Drosophila melanogaster: one gene and its partners. The protein of the gene in region 1 interacts with the protein of each later gene in a pairwise test. Each region holds a gene or a part of one and is shown on either strand. Other genes may lie near its edges.

Region 1 (5,002 bases):
GGGACGGCTGGCAGATTGCGATTGAGACCCTTTGTGTGGTATTCCAACTCTTTGGCAACACGACGAGCGTTCATGTAATCCCTGGTTTTAAGTTGGAATTTAGAAAGAACATTTAGCAAACTCTGCGTATAACACTCACTTAGATCGCTCCAGACTCATCTTCTCTGATATAATCGGGTTTATGTTTTGCTCGAATGCGATATAGTCCTTCCACAACTGCTCGATGCCCACGATAGGTGTGACTACAGCCTTTTGATAGACGCGGCGCACTGCTGTGATCTTTTGGTTCTCTGCATAGTTGCCCACTGCTTCAACGCCCCGCAGAAAGTATATGTAATCCTGCCAGATGCTGAACGAGTGTAGATCCATGCCGATTTTCTCCAGTGCAAAATCATAAGCCTGGGCCATTTTTTCTCTGAGAAAAGAGATAAGTCCAATAAAATAAGCGTGTCAGAATAACACAAATGTTGTGCATCAAAAAAAACAATATGCTCGCTGCATTGCAAGTTTTGACTAAAATTATAATAGTTTCTAAGATGTCAAATTATGTGAATTATTTAAATAAGGTATAACAGTTACTTGTGAGTACTTAGACCCGACTTGGTTTCCTTCACGTAGGTAAGATAGAGCTTCCAGAGGTCGATGTTCAAAATCTTGACTAGGCAGCGTTGAAAAAGTTTCTCCACGCGTTCATAGTACCGGCTGCGCATCTCCATCTCAATGTATAGCTTCCAGTACCGAGCGGTTGTCGGAAACACATTAACTAGCGACTCGTAAAGACTGCGTACTTCGTGGATTGGCCGCGTTTGGGCCTCTCGGATCATGACACTCCAGGACTCGATGTCATAGGGCCGCAGCTCCACCACTTGCTGAGCTCGCACCAGGCGCTCCATGCCCCATTCCTTGTCATCGATAAGTAAAAATATGTTGTTACCATCCAAATAAAGCCAATGTTTTACTTACTATGTCGACTTTGATAAGGTCTCTGGCCGAAGACATTGCTAATAGTCTTTGCAAATTGTCGTTGAGTCCTGCTTGCGCTGCTCCTTGGCCCGGGAAAGTTCCTTTCTTCCGTTGAACTTTCGCTACGCAATTACCTAAAGCAACGCTTGGATGCCGCTTTTCCGAATTCTTTTAGAAGTTGCAATGCGGCTGCTTAGATATCGACGACTGATTGGATGTAACTGCGATAGTGTCATCGCCAATCACATCGCGGGCCTTACCATTAAAATCCCAAGATTTGGGATGTGTAGTACAGCGGTCACTGATTATAAACTATAAATAAAAAAGATATATGGTTTTAACATACTTTAAAGGTACTAAATCTGTAAATAATGAATTCAAGCAGAAGCAATATTTTTTATAGCTTGTTTCCACTGAAACATTTTTCTGTACGTTGCTAAGGTGAAGGTTGTTAACAGATACTTTGAACCGTTTAAGTTCTATGTAATAGTAAGTAAAAGAGGTAATATTTAATAAAAAGGCATTTTTAGGAAGCCTGGAATTGTATGCCTAGTAGCGTAACTAGGTACGAATTTTTCCTGATTACCCTATAACATTATACATTAAAACAATATAACATAATATGAGGTAAAGGTATTCTTGGTATTGTGGTATTCGAACAAACATAACTATGAAAACACACGAAAACATTATAATTTAAGTCAATGGATTGTTCTTAAATGTTTTAGACACGAGTCCAAGTGATAACAAAATTCAACAAGGTTAACGGAACTTATTTTTTGCTATAAGAAATAGAAAGTGAAACGCACCTTTCTTCAGCAACTGTAGTGTTAAATTGTTTTAAGAATTTACTTACAGAGAAATGTTTTATTGAAATTTAATTTTTTCTTTTGTTGTTTCTTTTTCATGTTGAGGGTTCAACATTCCCACAATTTAACAGTTTAAGGAATACCCAGAATCTAACCCTAGAAATAGATTGGTATATTTATCGATATTAATTCAGTACCAGTATGCGGTCACATTGGGTAAGTGTCAAAAAAGTTTTAAAACAAACGCTAAACAATCAGGAGTGGCAATCAAACGAAACCAAGCGCATTTATTAGCCGAGAGATAATTCGAGTTAAATTCGCAACTAGTATTAGTATCATTCATTGAAACCGATTTATTAAACTGCCAAGGTAGACAAGACACACACACATGTGCGTGTTTCCGGAGAGCATCACAATCATTGCAGACCTAGAGGCCAACAGCTGTTGTTGATGTCCTAGCGGTATATTTACGGTTTATAGACTTCGACAAGTTAGTGAAATTATTACCGTTCCTGGGTCACTCTCCCTTACCTAATACCTCTGTGGGTGTGTGTGCTAAGGCGCAATAAGTGTGTCACACTGACGCGGTTTTGTGTTTCAAAGTAGAACAAACACTGTGTGTGTGTATCCCTCACATATGCATTAGCTTTGTCTCTGTTATATTGGCCAATGTTTATTCCTGCATACCAGAAATAAATAAACAAAGAAATCATTCTCTAAGCTGTGTTGCAAGCACAAAAAAAATTTTGTCTGCAACGATAAGTTTTTCCCTTGATACAAATATTTATATATCTTTTGAGCCATAGCGTTTTTTCATTCTGCAAAATTAGTTTTATTCAATGTGGTTTGTATTATGTGTTTTTGACTATCAAAACTATCAAAAAATCGTGTATTAAGGGGACTTTATACCGTAAAAATGTATGTTGTCTTACTAAAATATTTTTGTTATAAAAACTTAACTTTCAAAAGGGATTTAAAGCGAATGCAACAAAACTCATTCATGAAATATACCTTATTTTGTAGCTTATTTAATTCTTGTTTAGATAGTTGTAATTAAAAAGTGCATTCTTTGCGATTTTCGGAGAAATTATAGTTTTTAGGTCCTTACCCTACTTGTTCAAATGCAGAGTAATTTTAGCTAAAAGGGAGTTAAAAATGCCTGTTGGTGAATTGATTCATTAATTTGTTATTATGTTTGTGTTTACTTTTTTGTAAAATAATTCAATATGCAACCACTACCACGAAATCAGTTGTTCTTTGCTTGGACTAGAAAAAGCATACGAAATTAGGGAAATACCTATACAAAATTAGTTAATTAAATATAAGAGGCGGTGCCACGGCCACAATTTTTGGTATCATAAAAGATAATGGCAAAAAAATTTAAATATCTTTATCCGTTCTAGAGTTACAAACTACAACAAATATAAGGGGCGGTTTCAGAACGGATATATTGTAACCCAATCTGAATATCTTTCAACGTCCTGGAGTTATTCATTTTGGGCAGAAAAAGTGGTAAAATTTCACATAGTGGTACGTGGGCAAGTTTTGAAATATTCGCACACCCTAACGACGGCAAACCGCCCAAAAGGTTCACACCCACACTTTTGTGAAATGTTATAATTATTTTTCATTGCATTTTTTGATTTTTTGCTACTTTGTATCGCTTTGCCAAAATACCTCCACCATCTCATTCGAACGCCAACCAAATTTTTTAAATATGTTTAGACTTTTTTATTTGGTTATTATACCCGTTACTCGTAGAGTAACGTAGATTCGTTTAAAGGAATGTAACACGCAGAAGGAAGCGTTTCCGACTGTATAACGGATCAATAGCCGAGTCGATATAGCCATGTCCGTCTGTCCGTATGAACGTCGAGATCTCAGGAACTATAAAAGCTGGAAGGCGGAGATTTAGCATGCAGATTCTAGAGACAAAGACGCAGCGCAAGTTTGTTGATCCATGTTGCAACGCCCACAAGCCCACGAAAAAATGCCACAAGCACTCTTTTGAAAAATATATTGATATTTTTTCACATCTTTATTAGTCTTGTAAATTCCGATCGATGTGCAAAAAAAAACTGTTTGCCACACCCACTGTGACGCCCTTAAGCCGACAAACCGGTCACGCCCCACTTTTGAAAATTGTTGAAATTTTTTCTCATTTTATTCCCCAACATCTTTTGGTATCGCAGAAAAATATCTGGGTTAACGGGTATCTGATATTCAGGCAACTCGACTATAGCATTCTCTCTTGTTATTCTAAACAATTTTATGGATATGACAATCAAGTTTCAAAGTTTCTCCCTCGTTCTCCCCTTAGTTGAGTGGCGCTAGTGGAGAAAATCTATAGCGGTTCCTTTTGTTATTTTAACTTTTTTCCTAAACTAATTTTCCATAACAGAGATAAATTAGTTGGAAATTGTCAATATATTTCTAAATTAATTTGCTTTCTTTAAATATCAATTTATTTAATAGATAGAAAATTCATTTCGTCCTGTCTGTGTTACCAAAATATTTAGAACACTTAACAAAAATTCATATAACGTTCTGTTATATGAATTGCTGTTTGATTAACGAATGATTAAAACGTTTAAAACGTTACGTTTCGAAAATCAGAAAAAAGGAAAGAAATGCATACATTATCTTAACTTCAAAGCTTTTAAAGTTTTCGAGGTGACAGCCCCCTTACGGACAGACAGACTTTACCATATCAATTCGGCTAGTGATCCTAATCAGGAATATTGTACATATATATGTATATGTATACCGCATTAAAAGAGCATACAAAAAATTTCTGAATTCTACGACATCGAAATACAAAATACAAAGATAAAAAATACTTGTAGAGTAAAAGGGTATAGTTGATTCGTTGGAAAGTATGTAACAGGTAGAATAAAGCGTTTATAGCTTCAGTTTCAGGAACTATAAAAGCTAGAATGTTGAGATTAACCATTACCACTCTAACGCCCACAAACCGCCCAAAACTAAAAAAATTTGTTTCATGGTTTTATAAGTCTTGTACATATCTACCAATTCGCAAAAAAAAATTTTGGCACGCACACTCTACCGCCCACAAACCACCCAAAACTGTCACGCCTACATTGGAATAATTTTTAAATTAGTTTCCATTTTATTATTTTGGTTTCCAATTTCTGCCGATATTCTAAAAGACATATTGAAATATGTCGTTCCACCTGAGTAACGATAGCTGGGGAACTCGACTATCGCAT
Region 2 (3,962 bases), on another chromosome or scaffold:
TTGTTACGAGTAAAAAAACCACCCGAGGCCTGCTGCGCAAGAGCCGTATGGGTGAGTGGACGCACAGTCAACGATCGGCCGCAGGTCATTTTTTGTATGCGGGCTGCAGTTCTCTGGTCATTTTTTGTACGCCTAAAATTTGTATGGGTGGAAGCGTGACGGGTATAAGAAATGAAGGGTAAAAGGGAATACCCAAGAAAATTTTTGTGCTCATGTCTTTGCTCTTTGATGGACTCAATGGGTGCCTCCCATTTCAAACACATAAAGTAATTGCAATTAAAGACGGCATTTGTTGATTTTTACGTTTTTTAATGTCTCAATCTAAATAATAAAAACATAGTGGGCTTAAAAAGTATCTATTAAATATAAGGACTTAATGTTGTTGGATCAGGTAGTAAGTCATCGACGTCTACCTGTTCCCCATAGATAGCGCCGATTTGTAGGAAAAACTTCACCAAATTTTTAAATCCGGCTCCGGTTACTGCAGAAAACGGCCGACAATCTTGGACAACCCATTGGGTGCATTTTTCAATAGCTACTTTCTTGTCGTTTTCCGAAACAATTTTTAATTCCGTTGGTCGTCTTAATGTTAGACAACATTTATGGCGGGATAAATTGGAGGTGTTTTTGTGTAAAAATTTGAGCACTTTCTGGCATTGCCTGCAGAACAGCCATCCGTCCAGAACAGTTTCATCTTCCTTTAAAATGTCACATAAAATGCTCCAAATAACACTTTTTCCTTTATGTTTATTGGCAACTGAGTATGTTCCATTGTTAATTTTATTTTTAACGAAATCAGCCGCTTCTGCCATTATTGTGACCTTTTCCTTTGGCTTCCAAATAATACTGAATCCTAACAAGCTAGTAATTGCATCGTAAAAAACAAAAAAGGGGCAATTAACAGCCGAGACACTGGACCAAAGACACAAGAACTCAACAATCATTATGTATGGCGCCATTTGACTCGACTACCTACGAGACCACTCGAGTATTTTTGGAAACACCCGAGTATTTTTGGAAACACCCATGTGTTTAACGGTATACCCACAAGTGTTTTTCTCACTCATCCCTTTTTAGGCACTGTGTGAGCGGCACCCGCGACGCAAAACACCGTATTGATTCGGGTGCGCACACAACGGGGTGTCTTGTCTGCATGTTCAGATTTATACTGTGTGTTTGTAAGTACCCGCGATGTGCGTGGCGAGTAGCACCCGCACACAAAATTGTAGGGTGTGAGTCGAGTGGTAAAAAAGTGCCACCCTTGCAGTTCTCTGGTTGAAACTGCAACTTTTTTACCTTTTCCAGTTGTTTTTAGCCTCTCTTGACTGCCAATTAGCGCCTGGCTTTCTGTATTTCAACGGGAATTGTGCGCGGCTTGTGTTTTTCGCTCAGTCTGCTCCGCAACTTCGACCGATAAAAGCGGCCGGAAAAACTTCCGCTTCATTTTGTTAGTTTCGTTGCGGGAGATTGGGAAAAGTGCTAACGGGTGCTTCACTATCATTATCAGACATTAGATAAAATCATGGTAAGAGGCTTTTAAAAATAATTAGTGGCACATAGATACTTTCTGTGCAATGCCGTACGAAAAATATATGAAAAACGTGACCATGTGGCAGTTCAGTCACCGCGACCTCGAGCCCACGTTGTTCGTTTTAATCCTTGCTGAAACCACAACAAACTAAATCGATACTAGTCGGTGGATCTACGCACTTTACCGGTTTGCTCGTACTATGTAATTTATGCGCCAAAAATAGGAGAACTGAACGTAAATGATAGCAAATGAGGCAAAACCAGTTGGCCACCAACGAATCGAAAGTGTTGGGTGCAAGAAACCAGTTCTTGATACCATTCCTGTTATCGCGGCTCCACCTTCTTACCTGTTGACTGAGTTTTACCTTCAGTTTTGCCTCCATCGGCGTCACTTGCTGACGTGTGAAGTCCACTGCGAAAATGGTGCAACTTACGGTAGTCGCAATCACTAAAACTCAGTCCATAGAAAGCATCCCTAATCAGCAAATCACTCATAAATCTAGTACATATGTACAATTATCTCCCATCTTGATACTATTTTAAAGATACTATATACTTAAACTCTATACTTTGAATTCTACAGGAGGAGACATATCTGTACGATCCTAATCTGCTGCTAAAGCTGGACTTTCATCGCAGTCCCGCCAACTTTAAGCCCTTCATATCGGCGGCCAATCCCGGCGAGCCCTGGATGAAAGTGCGTCCTCTCAAGGACACCGACTACGATCGTGGATTCCTGCAGCTGCTCTCGCAACTCACCCATGTCGGCAATGTGAATCGTACGCAGTTCTTGAGTGAGTCGTGACTTTCAGTTAGGAATGTAGTATTTGTACTGACCACCTCCATCTTTTCTAGCCCGCTTTTCGCAGATGAAAGCCAGTGGGGACTACTTTGTCACCGTCATTGAGGACACTCGCAAGAATGAGATTATTGGAGCTGCATCCTTGGTGATCGAGCGCAAGTTCATCCATAACTGTGCTGTGGTAAGTGAAGAAGATGAGAAAAGGATCCATGATTTAGCTTAACTTATGATTCATTCTTCAGCGTGGCCGTCTAGAGGATGTGGTGGTCAATGACACGTATCGCGGGAAGCAACTGGGAAAACTGTAAGCGTTGTATATCATTTTCCCAACAAGAAACATTAATCCGCGGACTTACTATTCAGGATCGTGGTCACCGTATCGCTGCTGGCCGAGGAACTGGGCTGCTACAAAATGTCGCTGGACTGCAAGGACAAGCTGATCAAGTTCTATGAGTCGCTGGGCTATGTGGCCATTCCCGGAAACTCCAACTCCATGACGATTCGCTACGATGAGGGGCCAACGCTCAAGCGGAATGCTACCTCAGCCGGCTCCAGTGGAACAGTGGGCGACTCCTGCCAAACTGTGAGCCTCGATTTTGCCTCTTGACAATTAGCCGCCAACGCTGCTCCAAAGTCCAAGCTTTGAGTGGGAGCACCCCATCTCAAAGTTACAAATGCGCGAAGCGCAATGCAACAAAACTAAAATTGGATTCTAAGAAAACATTAAATGCATATAGGCATTGCCAAAATTCCATTGCGCTGAGGGCATGATGGATTTTTGGACAGCGCTGGCTGGCGGTGGTGTCCTTGTGGACGGACGTGCTTGTCCACCCACCCGCGAGGACATACAATTAGATATTTAGTTAAAGACAACCGCAACATATGTTGCTCTCTGTTTTTAATCCCTACAGAACTCTCAATTTTATAATTTTTTCTCCCCTTTCTGCTACTGAATGTGCGGCTCGACCTCTCAACTCCAAGGTGGTTGTAATATTACCTTTTAAGAGCACCTTCATCAAGTAGCCCTAAGATTGAAACACTCGCATAACTGTTAAACTGTTATTAACACTAATCAACAATAGCGATTAAAACCCAATACGAATCTTTCAAAAACCTTTAATGATTGAAGAAATTCAATAAAGTGGACACTTTTTTCAAAAGCCCAGAATGTTTATAAACTTACTTGCATCAACAGACAACAGTTTTATTTTCCAATATTTCAAAAAAAGTTAAGTAACAAACATTTGTGCTATTTAAAGTTGCAGAAGATCGATTAAACCTGTCTGTTAATTTACTTCACAAACGTTGAGCTTATTTTACAAGTTTACATCTTCGAGCTACATTTATATAAAAATCTGTTTAGTGTCTAGTGCAAGGTACTTATTGGGCTTAAGTCTTCTCTATTTACAAGGCTCTCAAATGGGGGGCAAAAGCTGGGCAAACCCAGCCTCCTCCGCGTCTCATGAGTACGCGCAAAGGTGTCCGCACTTGGGGCACTTGGAGTGTTTGGCAAAGTACTTCTGCAGGTGCTCTATGTGACCGCCGTGGGAGCATCCTTGGCACCAGGCGTAGACTCCCCGGACGATCAGACCGCAGACGCAGCACTTGGCGGACTGCATGGACTTGCACT
Region 3 (7,556 bases), 6.5 Mb from region 1:
AAAAATACAAGTTTATTAGTAATATATGTTACTTGCACAGGATTTACACAAAACAATTTCAATTCAATTAAGACTTTATTAATTAAATTATTGGATTAAAGATTTGGCAATTTAACAACTAATCACATCTATTTGAAAAACCAATTCGGCAATTGCTGAAATTTCAAAATACTCACATTGATTTCTGGTATTTTTCGTTTGCGCTCTTGCCTCTCGTTCACTCTCATACTTGGAAAAATATTCTTGAATTAAGACTTAAAACAGGTTCAAAATTTGGCGCCATCATTGAATACATGCATGTATTTAAAGAATTGTAATTTAAGCAATTAAGAAGAAAAATGATAACTTGACAATACTGCTCCCAAGGATAAAAAGTTAAGTGATCGAACGCCATAAAATGGAAAGTTTGTTGCTGATTTATTTTATTCCGTTTATATAGTATGTATATGTATGTATAATTTAATAATATAATAAACGTTACTCATTTGTTATCTTTATAATTGCTTTAAGAGGCGAAATGTCTTATATATGTATGTATATACCATGCAGCCGTCTCGTTCCCGCATTTTTTGATTCTGCTTTTGTCTGGGTATTATGTGTTATATTGAACGTTTTAATGCTTTTTAAATAGTTCCCATAAGTATGTTGGCATGGTCTTGACGTACATATTATCAAAATCTACTCATCTCCTCCTCAGCCGTTCTATTCAATTATTTACTTTTACTATGTGCCAGGAAGTTTTGCCTATGCCTCATGCAATAGTTATGTACTTTCTTTATCGAGGGAACTAAGCAAATGTATTGTTAGTCATACATAGTGTAGAATTATTAATACTTCTTAGCTTTATTATTTACCATGGCTCTTGATACACTCGGAATGCAAATCGCCCTAAGAGAATCCAAAATTTACAATTAATTTATTTCAGAAAATTATCTGAATATTGCCTACGTTTAATGGCTTAAAATGTATAGTTCTTTGATAATTAAACTATATTAAAAAAAAAAAATTAAAACTTAATTGTTGACCTATGCGTATTTTGGTATTAACAATTGAAATAAATATTTGTTGTTTTTCAAAAATTATACCTGAAATGTTGTCCATCAATAGAAACATTTGTTTATAGCCTAACAATATGGAATTTAGTTTTCAATTTCATTATTTTAAATCCGTAAAAACCCATACTTGTTGAAAATATTTGCGGCGATTTTCGAACATAAATGCCGATTGATTTTCTGAGTGTATACAATCATTCTATGGAATTGGTGTTCTTGGCGTTCAATACTCGAGACTATTGCAATTAAATGTGATTTGGGGGAACTCCCATTTCACTCGACTAACTAACTAAGTATGCATTTGCGGTGTAACAACATTAACAATTTTAACCACATATAGAACAGAAACTCTGAAACTTAAACGGCCCAACAGCTTTCATCAACTTTCAATAATTATATAGTTGTGGTGGAGGATTAACAAAAAAAAAAAACGCTATATATATATCTATATAAATATGGTGTATCTCTCAATTAGTTGAGTAAGTTGTTTCCATTTCTCCATCTTTTTTTTTTTTATAAAAGCTAAGAGGGAAACTCTGCGACTGCCGCCTCATCCTTGATTTGTTTCTTTTAGCTACGATTTAATTAATCTTGGTATTGTTACGATACGTGCATAGATCACTAAAACTAACTGTTTTCCAATGCCAACTCGGTATATAATATATATATATATCTGTATAAATATTTAGATTAGAGTTCAATGCAATTATTGGTGGTTGAAGAGTCGAAGCAAAAGTACAGCGTTAATATTCTTGGTTCGTGGATAATATGATCTCGATGAAGGCATTTCTTGCGTGAGTATGTATGTGGTATATCTTATAGCTTTTGATTTCGCATTGATAGTGGTTGTGATTAGTGATAAAGGAGAAGCTGATATCATCGGTTTTTGGGAAGAGGTGTAGGCGCAAATTGAGAACTTGATTGCCATCATTATCATTGAATTGATCTGAAACGCCGAAACTCATCCGTTTCTCATGTGTGTGCCATGCCTTATACTTACTTAAATACATCTCATTCGCTTAATCTCATTGCAATTAGCTCATACTAAGTCAAGGAAAATAAGTTTTGTGTTTGTGTGTGTGTGTGTGCTAGCGCTCTTTCTCTCTCAACAAAAATCGATTCGCTAAATTAGTTAATTAATTAATCGTTTAGTTCAATTTACACGCAGAAATATATTATACGTTATTAGGTTTACACAGTAATTTAATAGTTAAATATTTGATTTGCTATTTAAATGGTAAACGATCCGTTCTTTCAGTGTTCAAAATGCATTCACATCAATGGAAATCGATCGATCCTATTCATCAATTTATTAATTAGCTAGACTGTGATCCTCAAACAACGATTATCATCTTGTGTGATCTCTTATGGATTTTTGCTGCTTTTTCTTTGCTTTTGCTTTTGCCATTTGGTTGGTTTTTTTTTGTTTTTTGTTTTTTGTTCGCCAAGCTACTGATAAAACGCAAATAGTTAGTTATACACACACAGTCGTACACGTAAAATGTAACATATTAAGTCAAAAGTTAGATTATGCAACAATAATACATATACATATATTTAAGTATATATTTAAAAAAAAAAAAATAAACTCTGATTTCACTTTCAATGTTTAATTCGTATAAGGAACATTTATGGACTATTGCGGCACATATTGCAAATGGTTTCGAATTTGTTTGCTTGTTTCATTCGTTTCTTCTATGCAAGATTACATTTCTAGAGTTCAAGGATTACGATTATTACAAAAAATGACCTTTGCTCATTTCAAATTTCATTACACTTTCGGTTGCATCTCGGCACTGCGCCTCGATATTTCTAAATAATCATATGTATACATATATGTACGCTTCTTTTTTGCCGCTGCTAAATGTTTGGAACAGATTAGCGCTGGATTTTGTTTCCCATATCTCTTCAATTGGATTAGTGTTTCTTGCCTCTGGGGATTATGGGGATTCTGCTGGGGTTTTTCATCTTAAATTATCGCATTATCGCAGGGGGAGGGATTTCAATTAGCTCTTTCCGTTTTGTTCATTTTCCATTTTAAAATTTGCCCATTTCAGTTTATAGTTTATACATTACAACTTAAGCTAGGTTATGGGTTACGTTATGGGTTGGTTTTCTTCTATCGCGAAAGGGAATTTTCCGTTTTGGGGGCCGGCGCGCCAAAGTATGCCACACATAATTTTAATATCCAATGTGCGCGCGCCTGCGTAAAAACAAATCTCTGCTCCGTGCCGTCGGTTTGGAGGCTCTGGGCCATGGACATAGACATGGGCATGGAGCTGGTGCGGGATCACATACGAAATGCAGGGGGTTATGACAATTACTTAGAATTAGAATTGGTTTTAGTATTTAAGTTGTTGCTCTGCCACATTAAGTTTAATTAAGGTTCCGTTCGGTTGGTGTTCTTTGTGTTGCCTCCGCTCCGCTCCACTCAGCCCCTCCTTCAGACCAATTCAGACCTCGCCAGACTCCACCGTGCCGCATCTGCATCTGCATCCTCGTCCTGCAGCCGCACTAGATGGCACAGCTTACCCATGTCCAGCCCCATTTTTGCCGCCCTGCTGACTGTGCTGATTCGGATCCTCGCTGGGCGTGGGCGGCTGATCCCGCCGCGGCGGCATCCGTTCGTTGACGGCATCCAGGCCCTTGGCCTCCGCGAACGAGGTAATCTTGTGGTTGGGCGAGAAGCCCTGCATGGCGTTCTTGAGCGACTGCTTGCCGCCGGAGAGGGCGCCGAGGGGCAGGGCGCCCGTGGGCGTCAGGCCCTTCAGCTGCAGCACCGACTCGGACTCCTCGCGCAGCACGGAGAAGACGCGCGCCATCTTGCCAATGGCACGGATCTTGTTGCGTATCACCTCCTTGCGCAGCGCCGCCTCGTCGTCGGAGAGCGGCTCCTCGCTCTCCTCGGTCATGAGCTCGTCGTCGGAGCAGATGTTCAGCACGTTCACCAACATCTCGGTGACCTTCTCGCCCACGAAGGGTAGCGACCAGGTGAACACGTCCATGAAGTTGGGCAGCCAGTACGGGTGCGGCGAGCAGTTGAATTGCCGGATGTTCATCACGTTGTTCTCGTACTTCAGCACCGCCGCCTTGTTGTTGTACACGTCGAGATAGTTGGGCGCCGAGAAGATGGTGATCAGCGAGGGGAAGCCGGTGGTCTGGCTTTTGCGGTACATGCGGTAGCCGGCGTCCTGCGCCTCGTGCGCCCGGATGATCGACAGCAGGTTGTTGTTCTGCAGGAAGTCGCAGCAGGCGGCGTAGCTGTAGAAGTACGAGCATCCGCGCACGGAGTTGTGCGTGTAGAAGTCCGAGTTCTTCTCGTTGCCAAAGTCCTCCAGGGGATCGGACCACAGCAGGTCGCACATGGGGCCAAAGGCGGGCGGCTCCTTGAAGCGGTCGAGCCGCCGGATGTCCTCCAGCTCGTGTATCTCCGGCGACAGACCGCCGTGCACGCAGAGGAACTGCTGGTTCATTAGCGCCGCCAGCGGCAGGCAGTCGAATGCGTCCATGCAGGCGTCGTACACGCGCTCCGAGTACTTGATCTTGCACTCCTGCTTGAAGGTGAAGTACTCGGTTAAGTGCCGGCACTCGTGGTTGCCGCGCAGCAGGAACAGCGTCTGCGGATAGGTGATCTTTAGCGACCACAAATACAGGACGCACTCGATGCTGAAGTAGCCCCGATCGACGTAGTCGCCCAGGAACAGATACTTGGTGCTCGCGGGCGAGCCGCCCACTTCGAACAGCTTCATCAGGTCGTAGAACTGGCCGTGGATATCACCGCACACCGTCACCGGCGCCTCAATATCGATCATCGTCTTCTCCTGACGCAGCAGGGCGGCTCCGTCCTGGATGATTTTCAGGGCGGGCGCCTCCTCGATTCTGCCCTCAAGAATGAAGTGCTGCTTGAGCAGCTCATGGTTGGGCTTGCCGGTGCGTTGGTCGAACACCTCCGCCAAGGTCAGCTTGTGGCTGGGCGGGAAGGGAACGCTGTCCACCACCCGTTCCTTGGTGTTTACTGCCGTGTGGCCGCCGTGCAGCTTTCCAGTGCTCGCTCCTGTGCCCGTTCCAGTGGTGGGACTGCTGTTGTCGCTGTTGTTGCCCGCTGCAGCGGTACTGCTGCTATTATTGTTGTTGTTCGAGGCGGTACTATTGGCATCTGTGGCTTCCGCCGATCCGGCACTGACGGTGCGGGCACTTGTTGCCGCCTGGGCAACGCTGCTGCTCTGGTTATTCGAAGACATGGTTGAGACTTCTGTTTCTGTTTCGGTTTTTGGCTCTGCTTCTACGGCTACTGCTTCCCGTTTCCTTTTTCCTGGTTTCTATTCCGGGATTCGGAATCGGACTGCTCCTCTCCCGCTCCCACTTCCACTAGCTCGCTCTCCCGCTCTCGCTCTCCCGCTCTCGCTCTCTCACGGCTCAGTTCTGTTTCCACTACCCACACACACGCACACGCACACTCGCTCACTCACTCACTCACACTCTGGTACTTTCCCTGGCTGCTGCTGCTGCTGCTGTGTGGTTGTTGCTGCTGCTCCTACTGTTGTTGCTATTGTTGCTGTTGTTGTTGGAGTGCCTGGTGAGCCGCTTTATCGCCTTCCAGCTTTGATTCGCTTTCCTTTACTTTCCGCTGGCTTTGCTTTGATTTTGGAACGCTGACTCCGCTGCTTTCTTCCGTGGCCTGCGCCGCTGGCCTAGCCGTTTTCCAAAAGTGCTGCTTTCACTTAACAACAATCATAGTCACTCTGTTTCAGTATTTGCTACTTTTTTCGCTTCGGCCCTGCAGACGTCGTAATTTCTCTCTTTCGCTACGTTTTTTTTCTCGCTTTTTTTAATGGAATTTTCTGCAGTGTGGCCGTGGCTCAAAAGCTCAAACTTACTACACGGCCGCTGGAATGTGTACTCTAGTCGAGACTCGCACCTGGAATGGAAGTCATGGAAGTAGTCGAGTAAGGTACGTGCAAAATTATATCTTTCTCTGTATATTTAATATTCTAAATGAATACGCTTACTTTTATCTCCTTTCTAACAATATATTCACTTTAAAGATGTAGATGGTGGCGCAAAATTAAAATCTGAACAAATTCCGCACAGCAATGTACCACAAGGTGCTAAACTTTGATAATTATATCCAATTGGACTTGGTACATATTCAAAATGTCAACTGGAAAACATTTTATTTTAAAAAAGCTTAAGCTATCAATTAAGCCGTTCATCTTAATTATTCTTTAAACGTAGTTAACTAAACATTATAAAATGAATTAAAATTAGAGAATATGAGAGCCCAGATGCTGAATTTATCAATATAGGTAAAAACCTCATTATTGAAATTCTTGGCCACCTGTCGGTTTCGCCCCACTTACACTTACCTCTTCCTTAATTTTCGAGCAAATTCTGGACATTACTCACTCAGTCCACCACTTCTCCAGCCTTCTACTGGTGGATATGCTTCCCGGGATTAAATATGTATATGCTTATTCTGAAATTCCCCGGTGGCGAAATCGACTCAAACGAACTTTTAGAGGAAATAATAAATGTGCGCGCATTTTATTCTCAGGATAGGTACTTGTATATTTTTTTTAATGTTTTTGTATTTCTTTTTTGGTTGTTTTTGTTTTTTTTTTTTGCTTGTTCTTTTTTTTTCGTTTTTGTTAATATTAATTATGTTAATAACATTGATAATCATTTTGTTTTCATTGGGTTTCTTCATTTTGTTTTGCATTCACTTAAGGTTAAAACTTGTTGTCTGCATTTTGTTGTTGCCTTCATTTATTCTCCATCGTCTACATCTCCATTATCATCATCTTTATCTTGTAAATTAATTTGTTATCTTCCTTGGATTGCGTACAATTTTTGTCACAACGGCGCAAATTTTATGTAATTTTTGCCAGCCAGCTGCCCCTTGCAATACAGTTTATAAATTTGTTTATCCATTAACTTTGGTTTCGGTTTAATAATAAAATTGAAAATTTTTAAGAGATTTATCTAGATGTGATGTTTTCTTGTTTGTTAATTTGTTATGTTGCATTTTTAATATTATTTATTTGGTTTTTGGTTTTCCTTTCCCATCTTCCATCCATTTGTTTTTTGTTTTTCTTTAATATAAGTATATAAACTTTTTGCTTTGACAAAGTTTTTCCAACTTATATTTATCATACATGTTATATATAAATAAATGTTTAAATATATATAAAATATGCATTTAAATTGATTTATCCAAAAGGTAAAGTTTTAATTGTTTTTTGGTTTTTTCTTCACTTGGTTTTTCTTGTTTTTTTTTTGTTTTTGCTTTTCTTTGTCCATTTCTTTTTTGTTTATAATATATATTAAATTGTTTTCTTTTTCGTGTAAAGTTTTTAAAGCATTCGAGGGCAGGAAGTAGATGTTGAAAAATACATGTATCAAAAAAATTAAGGTAACGTATATAATTACATACATACATACATATGATGAAAAGGTTTTCATTCGCATTGCAATGGATGAGATGAGTGGAAACGAAAAACAAGA

Evidence for each region. The genes of interacting proteins can lie anywhere in the genome.
Region 2: the proteins of CG17162 (region 1) and Gnpnat interact in a two-hybrid assay, tested with the Drosophila melanogaster proteins (one large-scale study listed by BioGRID).
Region 3: the proteins of CG17162 (region 1) and Pp2B-14D interact in a two-hybrid assay, tested with the Drosophila melanogaster proteins (one large-scale study listed by BioGRID).

What each region holds. Positions count from the first base shown.
Region 1 is NC_004354.4:23,093,693-23,098,694, reverse strand, and holds the start of CG17162 (uncharacterized protein), read left to right. Parts: upstream 1-1,960; 5' UTR 1,961-2,262; intron 2,263-5,002. Other genes in the region: su(f) (suppressor of forked), read right to left, coding at 1-81, 140-415, 580-902, 964-999.
Region 2 is NT_033777.3:29,738,455-29,742,416, forward strand, and holds Gnpnat (Glucosamine-phosphate N-acetyltransferase), read left to right. Parts: upstream 1-1,896; 5' UTR 1,897-1,950; coding exon 1,951-1,965; intron 1,966-2,113; coding exon 2,114-2,324; intron 2,325-2,385; coding exon 2,386-2,513; intron 2,514-2,574; coding exon 2,575-2,636; intron 2,637-2,695; coding exon 2,696-2,915; coding exon of another isoform or gene 2,916-2,978; exon of another isoform or gene 2,979-3,243; coding exon 3,244-3,285; 3' UTR 3,286-3,313; coding exon of another isoform or gene 3,314-3,355; 3' UTR 3,356-3,450; downstream 3,451-3,962. Other genes in the region: Wdr24 (WD repeat domain 24), read right to left, coding at 3,793-3,962.
Region 3 is NC_004354.4:16,554,115-16,561,670, forward strand, and holds Pp2B-14D (protein phosphatase 2B at 14D), read right to left. Parts: upstream 5,903-7,556; 5' UTR 5,294-5,902; coding exon 3,581-5,293; 3' UTR 513-3,580; downstream 1-512. UniProt on the Drosophila melanogaster protein: Calcium-dependent, calmodulin-stimulated protein phosphatase. This subunit may have a role in the calmodulin activation of calcineurin.